2 linked regions of the Canis lupus familiaris genome follow. The main gene of each other region encodes a partner of the protein of the gene in region 2 in a complex. Links are inferred from orthologs where the notes say so. Each region holds a gene or a part of one and is shown on either strand. Other genes may lie near its edges.

Evidence for each region.
Region 1: IQCG (region 2) and CCDC153 share a complex: the UniProt entries of both Homo sapiens proteins name them as parts of the nexin-dynein regulatory complex. The link is inferred for Canis lupus familiaris from reciprocal best matches to the Homo sapiens genes DRC9 and DRC12.

Annotation. Positions count from the first base shown.
Region 1 is NC_049226.1:14,703,599-14,708,398, reverse strand, and holds the start of CCDC153 (coiled-coil domain-containing protein 153), read right to left. Parts: upstream 3,337-4,800; 5' UTR 527-3,336; coding exon 305-526; intron 3-304; coding exon 1-2. UniProt on the Homo sapiens protein: Component of the nexin-dynein regulatory complex (N-DRC), a key regulator of ciliary/flagellar motility which maintains the alignment and integrity of the distal axoneme and regulates microtubule sliding in motile axonemes.
Region 2 is NC_049254.1:29,438,913-29,443,831, reverse strand, and holds the start of IQCG (dynein regulatory complex protein 9), read right to left. Parts: upstream 3,109-4,919; 5' UTR 3,039-3,108; intron 2,936-3,038; exon of another isoform or gene 2,673-2,935; 5' UTR 2,625-2,672; intron 2,443-2,624; exon of another isoform or gene 2,287-2,442; intron 1-2,286. Other genes in the region: RPL35A (60S ribosomal protein L35a), read left to right, coding at 3,960-3,970, 4,164-4,316. UniProt on the Homo sapiens protein: Component of the nexin-dynein regulatory complex (N-DRC), a key regulator of ciliary/flagellar motility which maintains the alignment and integrity of the distal axoneme and regulates microtubule sliding in motile axonemes.

The sequences.
Region 1 (4,800 bases), on a different chromosome or scaffold from region 2:
TCCTGGGGAGGGAGAGGACTCATATTTAAGGCTAGACATAGGGCTGCTTTCCTGACCCTAGGCGTCCCAAGAGAGTTGGAGTTCTAGTCTCTGAGTCTGTCTCTTATACTTTCCAGGAGCTTCCATTCTTGGTCTCCTTGGAACCTTAGTCAAGGCTGGGGTGTGGGGAGGGTGGAGCTATTTCTTTCTACCCCTCAGGTTCTGTGGGCAGAAACCATTCCTCTCAATCCTCTTTTGGAGAAAATCAATCTCCCAGTACTCGTCCCTTTCCTCTTCCCATCATCCTTACCCTGCTTCTTCCTACCTGAAGGACCCTCTCTGGCCTCTGTTGTGTCTCCCTGCGGGGTGACCGGCTTACAGGGAGGGGCACAGAGAAAACCCAACCTCGTCGGAGCCCAAGGAGGAGCCTGGGTTCTGGGAACCAATCCAGGGTGACAAAGATCCTTCGAGGGCGGGCCTGAGAACCACAGGGTTGAGTTTCTGGAGACTGAAGGTTGTCCAGGTAACTGGAAAACATGGAGCTCATAGAAGGGTGGTATGTGCCAAGCACAAAGCTTAAGACAGCAAGGTTCTTAGGGGTGGGGGTGAATGGGTGACGGGCACTGAGGGGGGCACTTGACGGGATGAGCACTGGGTGTTATTCTGTATGTTGGCAAATTGAACACCAATAAAAAATAAATTTATTATTAAAAAAAAAAAAGACAGCAAGGTTCTGGAGAGTCCACTCTCTCCTATCCGTAAATCCTCAGTGTAGTTGGAGGGGAAAGGGCTTCAGAGCTGGTTAGCCATGCTTCATTTCCATGTAGCACTGCCTGAAGTCTGGAGACTGAGAAGTTACAGATTTCCATATCTGATACGATGCTGTCACAGGAAAATGCTGAAACAGGAAAAGAGCTGACAGTAGCCATCTTGGGCGATTTACATCACTAGGGCTCATGAGCAAGTGCCATTATTAGGCCTCAGGGAGGTATTCTAGAGTGTGTGAGCGAAAGAAATGCAGGAGAAGGCAGCTGAGAGAGTTTCTCAGTTTGGAGAGAGGAGACACAGAGGAGAGGAGGACCCACAGACTCCAGGGTGCTGACATAAAGGGCTGCAGATGTAGAAGAAAGGGTAGTAGTGGGAGACAAGAGCCATGAGTTCTAGTCCTCCCTCCAGTTACGTAAACTTGGGTCAGTTGTTTAATTTTGCTCAACCTCAGTTTCCTAGTTTTTATTATATATATTTTAAAGATTTTATTTATTTATTCATGAGAGACACGCAGAGAGAGGCAGAGACATAGGCAGAGGGAGAAGCAGGCTCCCTGTGGGGAGCCCCATGCAGGACTTGATTCCAGGACCCCAGGATCACGCCCTGAGCCAAAGGCAGACACTCAACCACTGAGCCACCCAGGTACCCCTTAGTTTCCTGGTCTTTAAGTCTTTGATTTGGTAAATCCTAAAAGGGCTGGGTTTTAACTGGGAATTCACAGGGCCATCTTCCCTTGCGGGGACTTAATTTATTGCCTCTCTTCCTCTATTCCCTTCTGTGGCTGGTTTTCAGTCAGGTGCTGCGAAACTCCTTTGCTAGGCTTCATGTAGAATTGAGTTGGTCGGGGCTCCCTCTAGTGGACTTGCTTGACCTCAGGAGTCTCCTCAATTTTTCTACTTAAATTATTGGGCCATGGGATCCCTGGGTGGCGCAGCGGTTTGGCGCCTGCCTTTGGCCCAGGGCGTGATCCTGGAGATCCGGGATCGAATCCCACATCGGGCTCCCGGTTGCTTCTCCCTCTGCGTCTCTCTCTCTCTCTCTTTCTGTGACTATCATAAATAAATAAAAATAAAAAAAAATTATTGGGCCATGTTGGGAGTGCCTCTCTCTAGGGGATACTTCCTAGCCTCTTGCTGGGGCATGAGTGGTTGGAAAAATGGTTCTGGGGAAGGGAGTATGATGGGTGACTTGTCCTTGTTAGGCAACCCCCAACCCTCTCTCCTCCAGCCCTGTGTTAGTTATTCTGGAGCTTTTTCATCTGTCTGCTGCCTGGATCTCTGGGAACCATACACTTGCTAGAATGAAAACAGCAAAAAACATCAGGGATTTTCCCTTTGTGGATCAAGGAACCTGCAGATTCTCTTGTTATTTCTCTCAATCTCTGTCCCCCTCAACATTTTTGGTCAATTGCCTGTCCTCAGGAGCAGATCTGAAGAAATAGCTTTGCGATCTGGGTTTTAAAAATCCTTTCCCTGGGGAGTGGAGAGATTCAGATGGGGCTGATTTATGCTTATTTGTCACCTTGGTGGCTGCTGGGTACTTCTCTGATGCTTGAGAGATTTTACAGAGTATAGAGAAGAATACTTGCCTTTTCTGGGGCTTATAGTTCCCGTAATGTAGGGTCAGATAACTTTGTTCACAACTCCCAAATCTGGAGAATACTTTTCTTCTCATCTTGAAGTGTGTTTCATTTATTCTCCCCTCAGAACTCTTTCCTCTGCATAGGAATGCAGGAGAGGTTCCCACCACAGTCCTCTCCTCATCTAGAAGCCTGTTTGGGGTCACTTTTCAGGGAATGATTGGTTTCTGCATTGTGCTGATGCATGCGATGACATTTTGAGGACAGAGTTTACAGAATACAAACAACATATCACGCCTCAGAAGAGGATTTACTTTTCAAATATGTTCAGTCAACCGACTTTCAGGTGCAGAATGAGGATGTGGTTTGGGTGAAGGTGAAATGGAAGAAGAAAAGTGCCCCATGTCACATGATGTGATGATACAAACTGAGCCAGATCTAGAATGACCCAAGAATGCGAATGACATTGTGATCAACAATCCAATCCCCATCCTCAGTATGCTTTGAAAACAAGCCAAGTAAAAATTGTGGTGGTTGGGGGGAAGGTCAATCTTTCCTTCTTTTTTTCATTAACTTCAGATTAGAAGTGAAAAATAAGAAAGATCATCTCAGCAGAACTCTGTCCTCCTTTGAATAGGATTCCATCTGGGAGTTTTGAAGAGATATAGAGGAAAGAACTGTCACTCCCTCTGCTTTATTCAAATGCGAGAGAGAGTTTATTTGTATATTTAAAGAAATGTGGCTTTAAAAAAAAATTTTGATAGGGCACCTGGGTGGCACAGTTAGGCATCTGACTCCTGATTTGGGCTCAAGTCCTCATCTCAGGGTGGTGAGATTGAGCCCCTCCTTGGATCATGAGCTCAGTGCAGATGGAGTTTGCGGGAGATTCTCTGCCCCTCCATTCACTTGCTCCACTTGTGTGTGCCATGCACATTCTCTCTCTCTCTCTCAAATAAATAAATCTTAAAAAAAAGTATGTATTTTTTTCTTTTTTGAGAGGAGGGAAGGGAAGAGAGGGAATCTTTTTTTTTTTTAAAGACTTATTTATTTATTCATGAGAGACACAGAGAGGCAGTGACACAGGCAGAGGGAGAAGCAGGCTCCATGCAGGGAGCCTGATGTGGGACTCGATCCTGGGTCCCCAGGATCATGCCCTGGGCTAAAGGCAGACACTAAGCCACTGAGCCACCCAGGGATCCCAAAGAGAGGGAATCTTAAGCAGGCTCTATACCCAGTGTAAGCCCAATACAGGGCTTGACCTCACGACTCTGTCATCATGACCTGAGCTGAAATCCAGAGTCCAGGGCTTAACCGACTGAGTCACCCAGGCGCCACCAGAGATACAGCTTCTGCAAGCAGAAACAAAGTACAAATTATACAGTTACACTCTATCCAGGTGGTGCCGAAGATAATACAAATTGGAAGGCTTAAAGGAAGCCAGAGATGTGTAGATGAACCAGATGAACTCATATAGGCCCAAGGGTTAATTTCTTACCTGTTACTCCAGTAAATCTAGCATTTGATGATGAGGGGGAAAAATACCCTGTGTACCTACAACGTGTTAGGTACCCCAGAAGACCAAAGTCAATGAAATAGCATAGCATAAATAAATGTGGTACCTGTGAGAATGAACAGTTAGTGAAATTTATTTTTATTATTATTTTTAAAAATTATTTATTTATTCATGAGAGACAGAGAGAGAGGCAGAAACATAGGCAGAGGGAGAAGAGAAGCAGGCTTCCTGTGGGAAGCCTGAAGTGGGACTCCACCCCAGGACCCCTGGCACCATGAGCCAAAGGCAGATGCTCAACCACTGAGCCACCCAGGTGCCCCCAGTTTTGACAGTTATCTTAGAGCCTTGCCTAGATTTTCCTTTGGGAGATTTCTTCTCTCTCTCTCTCTCTCTCTCTCTCTTTTTTTTTAAAGATTTCTTCTCTTTCTAGGCAGGAACTGATAAGAGGAAATTCTGATAGTAAACGATAATGTTGACTCCATAATCAATCTTAGATAAAGGCCATTGAATTTCAAAGCAAGGATGTCTGGCTTATGAGTCCTTGAGTTCAGAGAGATTTTTCTCCCCTCTATGCCAGGAGCACATGATACACTTAATTCCTTAATCAGTTAAGGGCTTTGTGGAAGACCCAGGTAGGGGATCTAAGACAGAATTGAGCATTTAACAGACACGCTAGAGCCTGCAAGCTCCCAAAGAGGAGGCTCAGAATTAGCAAATCAGGGCAGGGCACTTCCTTCTTTTGGAAGAAAAGTTCCCCTTTTTTTTTTCAGAGTTTTTCCAACAGAACTTTTTAGATTAGAGAAGTGGAAATGACTGGGAACTGCATTTCTGTTCCACGCGGGGAGTGAGTCCTCCCCTGGCCAGGGCCGGCAGCTGCCTCGGGCCTGGGCCGCTGTGGTCAAGGCCTGGAGCTGGCGGAGCTGACCTGCGGGGCAACGCACGGAGCCCAAGGCGCTGAGCC
Region 2 (4,919 bases):
GACTGTTGTTTCTTGAACAACTGTAACAGCCCCCAAATTGGAGGTGATCTTTTTAAAATTGAAAATCATTTTTTTTTTAAACTAAAAATTTGATCCTGTCTTTCCTTAGAATCCTTCCATGGTTTCCCATTGCCCTAGGACAAAAGCTAAAAATTCTAAACTTGGCCCATAAGGCCTGCATGGTCTGGCCTGCTCTGTTCCTCTCTTCAGATATCCACTTGGCACTGCCCTATTATTGCTCTCATGGCTCCAGTCTCAATGTACTTCTTTCAATTCTTCTATGGAATCATGCCCCCTTCCAACTCAGGGTCTTTACACACGTTATTCCTTCTATTTGGACCACTCTTCCCCTCACTCTTCATCTTGTAAAGTCCCACTGGTCCATCAGGTACCAGCCTAAATCAGTGGCATTTTGCTAGGTATCTGTCATTTCTAAATCTAATCTTCACCATTTCTTATACCCCAAGAGACTGACCCATATGGGGCACATCAACAGGAGGTTCCATAAATGTAGGAGAGTGAGATCAAGTGTTTATCCTCCCAGTTCCCTCCCTGCCAAATCATCATTGGTTGGGCTAAGTTTCTCTGTCAAAGGCCATGGCACCAGTCAGGCAATATTCTCTACGTTGCTCTTGCTTGGGGGCTTGGGTAACTATTTCTGCCCTACGTCCCTGGAGACTATGTCATCCCTTAGAATTTCACTCTTGCCTACAGTTTTGTACACAGATCCTTTATGAAATTCTGAACTCTATCATTGTTTCCATCCAGGGCAACACTGACTGATGCAATGACCTATATACACAGATTTTTATATACACTGTGCACACACAGACATATACTTAAGTATGCATACAGGCAAATAACTGAAACAAGTTTCATATACCAATTTACGTTTAACATGTGCCATATTCTGGGATCCCTGGGTGGCGCAGCGGTTTGGCGCCTGCCTTTGGCCCAGGGCGCGATCCTGGAGACCTGGGATCGAATCCCACATCGGGCTCCCGGTGCATGGAGCCTGCTTCTCCCTCTGCCTATGTCCCTGCCTCTCTCTCTCTCTCTCTGTGACTATCATAAATAAATAAAAATTAAAAAAACAAAAAAAAGAAAAAAAACATGTGCCATATTCTGATACTTTTGATTCTATCATATATTTTGCCTAAAAAGTATTATAATTACAATCTACTACTGGGCCTACACCTGCAATTTGAAAAATGCCTTAAAGGACATTTCTGCGGGTGACACTTTCCCTCATTCATCAGGCTGGATCAGGAGTCCTCTGGTCAATCACTGCACTTTTATTTTCCTACAGAGCTCTCTTCACAATTTGTAATGTTACTGTTTTGCCCCCACTAGGCTTTTAAGTGTCATGAAAGCAGGAACGTGATAGTGATGCTCACTGTTATATCCTGTTTCAAGCACTGTGCTCAAGAAGTATTTGTAGAACAAATGAATGAACAAAGGAACGAAACTCACCTTTAAGGTTTTATTCCTCTCAGGACTACTTAACATTTGGATTTCTAGTACATTTAATAGTGAGATTTTTAGTATATTTCTGGGACAGAGAAAACTGGATAGAGGGAGTGGATCGTAAGGTACCTACACTCTATCCTGATGTATTTTTTTAAAAGATTTATTTATTTATTTATTTATTTATTTATTTATTTATTTATTTATTTATTTATTTATTAATGATAGATATATATATAGAGAGAGAGGCAGAGACACAAGAGGAGGGAGAAGCAGGCTCCATGCCGGGAGCCTGACGTGGGACTCGATCCCGGGACTCCAGGATTGCGCCCTGGGCCAAAGGCAGGCGCTAAACTGCTGAGCCACCCAGGGATCCCCTATCCTGATGTATTTAAGAGAGGACCTTAAATATGATTTATAGATATCTCATAAAGCTTTGGGGTCATCCTTTACTCTTCTCTCCCATTCCTTACCCATCAGCAAATCCTATCAGCGTTACATTTAAAATATATTCAGAAGTCCAGTACTTATCACCCCTGTCTGCAAGCCATGATCTTATCATGATCATTGCAAGAGCCTCCTAATGGATCTCCGCGCTGTTCTTGCTTCCCTTCCATCTCAACAGAATGACCCTATTAAAATGGAAGTCAGATTGAGTCTCCCCTCCATACAGAACTGCTCAAATTGGTTTCTCATCTCAGAGTAAAAGCCTTCTTTTCTTCATTTTTAAAATTATATATATATTTTTAAAGCCTTCTTTACAGTGGCATCCTGGCTTCATTCTTTTTTTCTCCATAGAGAACATTTTTCTCATGTTACCTGCTCATGTGCCATATATTGTGCTTGCTTAGAGTCTCACTTCCCTTCCTAGGACAGGTCTGTAAGCTCAAGAGGGCAGAGAATTCCGTGGTTTCGTTTCCTGCAGGGTCCTCCGAGCCAAGACCAGAGCTCGGTACATAGTAGTCGTTCAATAAACTGCTGAAACAAATGAATGAACCCGGAGGGAAACCCAAATAAACCTGCAACGGTCAGACGCCCACTAGCCTATCTTCCCGTCACCTGCCAGGATTTGCTAGAGACCCACTTCGCGCAGGCGCGGTGCTTGGGCGCCCCACAGCTACCCGTGCAGCTGCTCTTTAAAAGGCGGCAATACTCACTCTGGAGTCCAAACGAAGGATTGCAGGTTAGGAACTTGGAGGACGTTTCTGCAAAGAGATAAAGAGAGGAGGAGGAGGAAAGGGGTGAGGTGGGGGGGTGCGTAAAGAGAAGAGCTCCTCCTGCCCTCGTGCTCCTGCCCTTTCTCTTCCGCGCTAGGACCCGAGAGTCTCCATCCTCCCTACTCCTAGTAAGAGAGAAAGATGCTCCCACGTGAGCGAATCCAGTCTGGGGTCCCCGAGGCGGGGCGGCAGCCTGCACCGGGCTGCAGGAACCAAGCCCTGCTGTTTCTATGGCAACGCGAAGCTCCGGGGACCTTTCCTCGTCCTCCTTTAGCTGGCTATCCTCTTGCCTCCCTCTGTTTCAAATACCACATATATTACAACTCTCAAAGATAAAAGCACTCAGAGAAAGACCTGTAAGAGTGCTCTCGAATGTAGACGTTTCTTTCAGTCAAAGACAACAGCTGAGGCTTTTTCTTTTTTTTCTTTTTTTTTTTTTTTTTGGGCGGTTGCGTTAGACGCCTAAACCGGGGGGGGCGGGGCGGAGAGGTGTTTATCCCACAAGGCCACGCGCGCGGCGGGGCCTCGCCTCTCTCTTTCCGCCATCTTGGAGCCTGTGGAGGTGAGGAGAGCCGCCGCTCCTGAACTTTGGGGGCCGATTAAGTGCGGTGAGACGAGCCCTGTGCTTCGGCGGGGCGCCGGTGCGGCTCGGAGGCTGTGTCAGCGAGCGAGCGCCGTGGATTCCAGCGGCGGGGAGGCCAGGATGGCGGAGATGCGGGGCCGATGGTGCTGGTGCCCGGACTCCCGGAGAACCGGCGCTCCCGTCATCGCCGTTGCTGCTTGGGCCTTAGCGGAGGGATAAAGGCCGTTCGCCCGTTTTGAGGCAGTGGCTCCCTTAGGATGAGCCCTTTTTATATTTTATTTTATCTTATTTTATTTTATTTTATTTTATTTTATTTTTCCGTCAAGACGCTCCCACTCCAGACCTGGTTATGTCTACGAGCTCCCCTTCCTCAGCCTTGCTTTTCCCATTCAGTGCTTCCGCCTCTGTTTTGTGTGCTTCTCCGATTCCTCGCTTTTCTTTCCTCCCCCACCCCCCCCCTTCCTACCCGGCGTGGTCTGAGTCCGCTCGGGGCATCCTTTCGGCGTCTCCAGGAGCTGTTTCCTTGACTACGAAGCCCGTCCTGCCCGAGGTGTCTCCCACCGGAGAGACTTCCTGTCAGATGCCGAGCGCTACCGAGAGCGGACTGGGCGGGAAACGTGCTTTTGCAAGATTTTAAACTGGTTCTTTTTGTTTTAAGGCCTGCTGGGACCAGGACTCCTAAAGCGACGACTATGTCTGGAAGGTACAGACTTTATGATTTTTTTTTTTTTTTTTGCATCTGTAAAAAAAAAAAAATCAAACGTTTGCTGTAAACTTGGGGAGGGGGGATTAGATGTTCGCTGCAGGTGACTTTTGAGTAGAGCTCGTTACAGGTGAGCTCTTCCAGTGAAACCAGATCTTTGCACGACTTATGGTCACTCTGTATTTTGTCTCAGGCTTTGGTCCAAGGCCATTTTTGCCGGCTATAAACGGGGTCTCCGGAACCAGAGGGAGCACACAGCTCTACTTAAGATCGAAGGTGTTTATGCTCGAGATGAAACTGAGTTCTATCTCGGCAAGCGATGTGCTTATGTCTACAAAGCAAAGAAGTAAGTTCATAGTGTTAATGCCTCTTGCATTTTTTAGTTGAGATTTGTCGCATTTTCCTATTCAAAGGAGAAGAATCAAAAGATGTTGGCAAAGCAGTTGGTACTTTTGTGTTTCGTACTTTGAATCTTTTTTTTTTTTTTTTTTTTGAAGATGTTACTTATTTATTCATGAGACACAGAGAAAGAGAGAGGGGCAGAGACACAGGCAGAGGGAGAAGCAGGCTCCGTGCAGGCAGCCCAACGTGGGATTCGATCCCAGGCCACCCAGGGATCCCTGCCCTGTACTTTGAATCTTTAAGGAATTTCATAGGAGGTCACAGAAGGTTGTTACTTGTCTGGGTAGTGTTGGATTTAGGTATCCTCTGCACTTAGAAAGATTTCAGCTATTGACTGTTTCAAGGAAGGAACCGATTCCTTATGTTATCTCGTGTACCTTGATTCACTTTGTCGCTTTCTTGAAATTATGTTGTATAGGTGTTTAAAAATGTGTCTGGGGCCTTGATTCTTAAATTCATTAAACCAGTGAAAATCTCTGGGGACATAGCTTTCACCCCCCCCCCCCCCCCGCCATTCCTCCTGGAACGAGAATAATACTTTAAAATT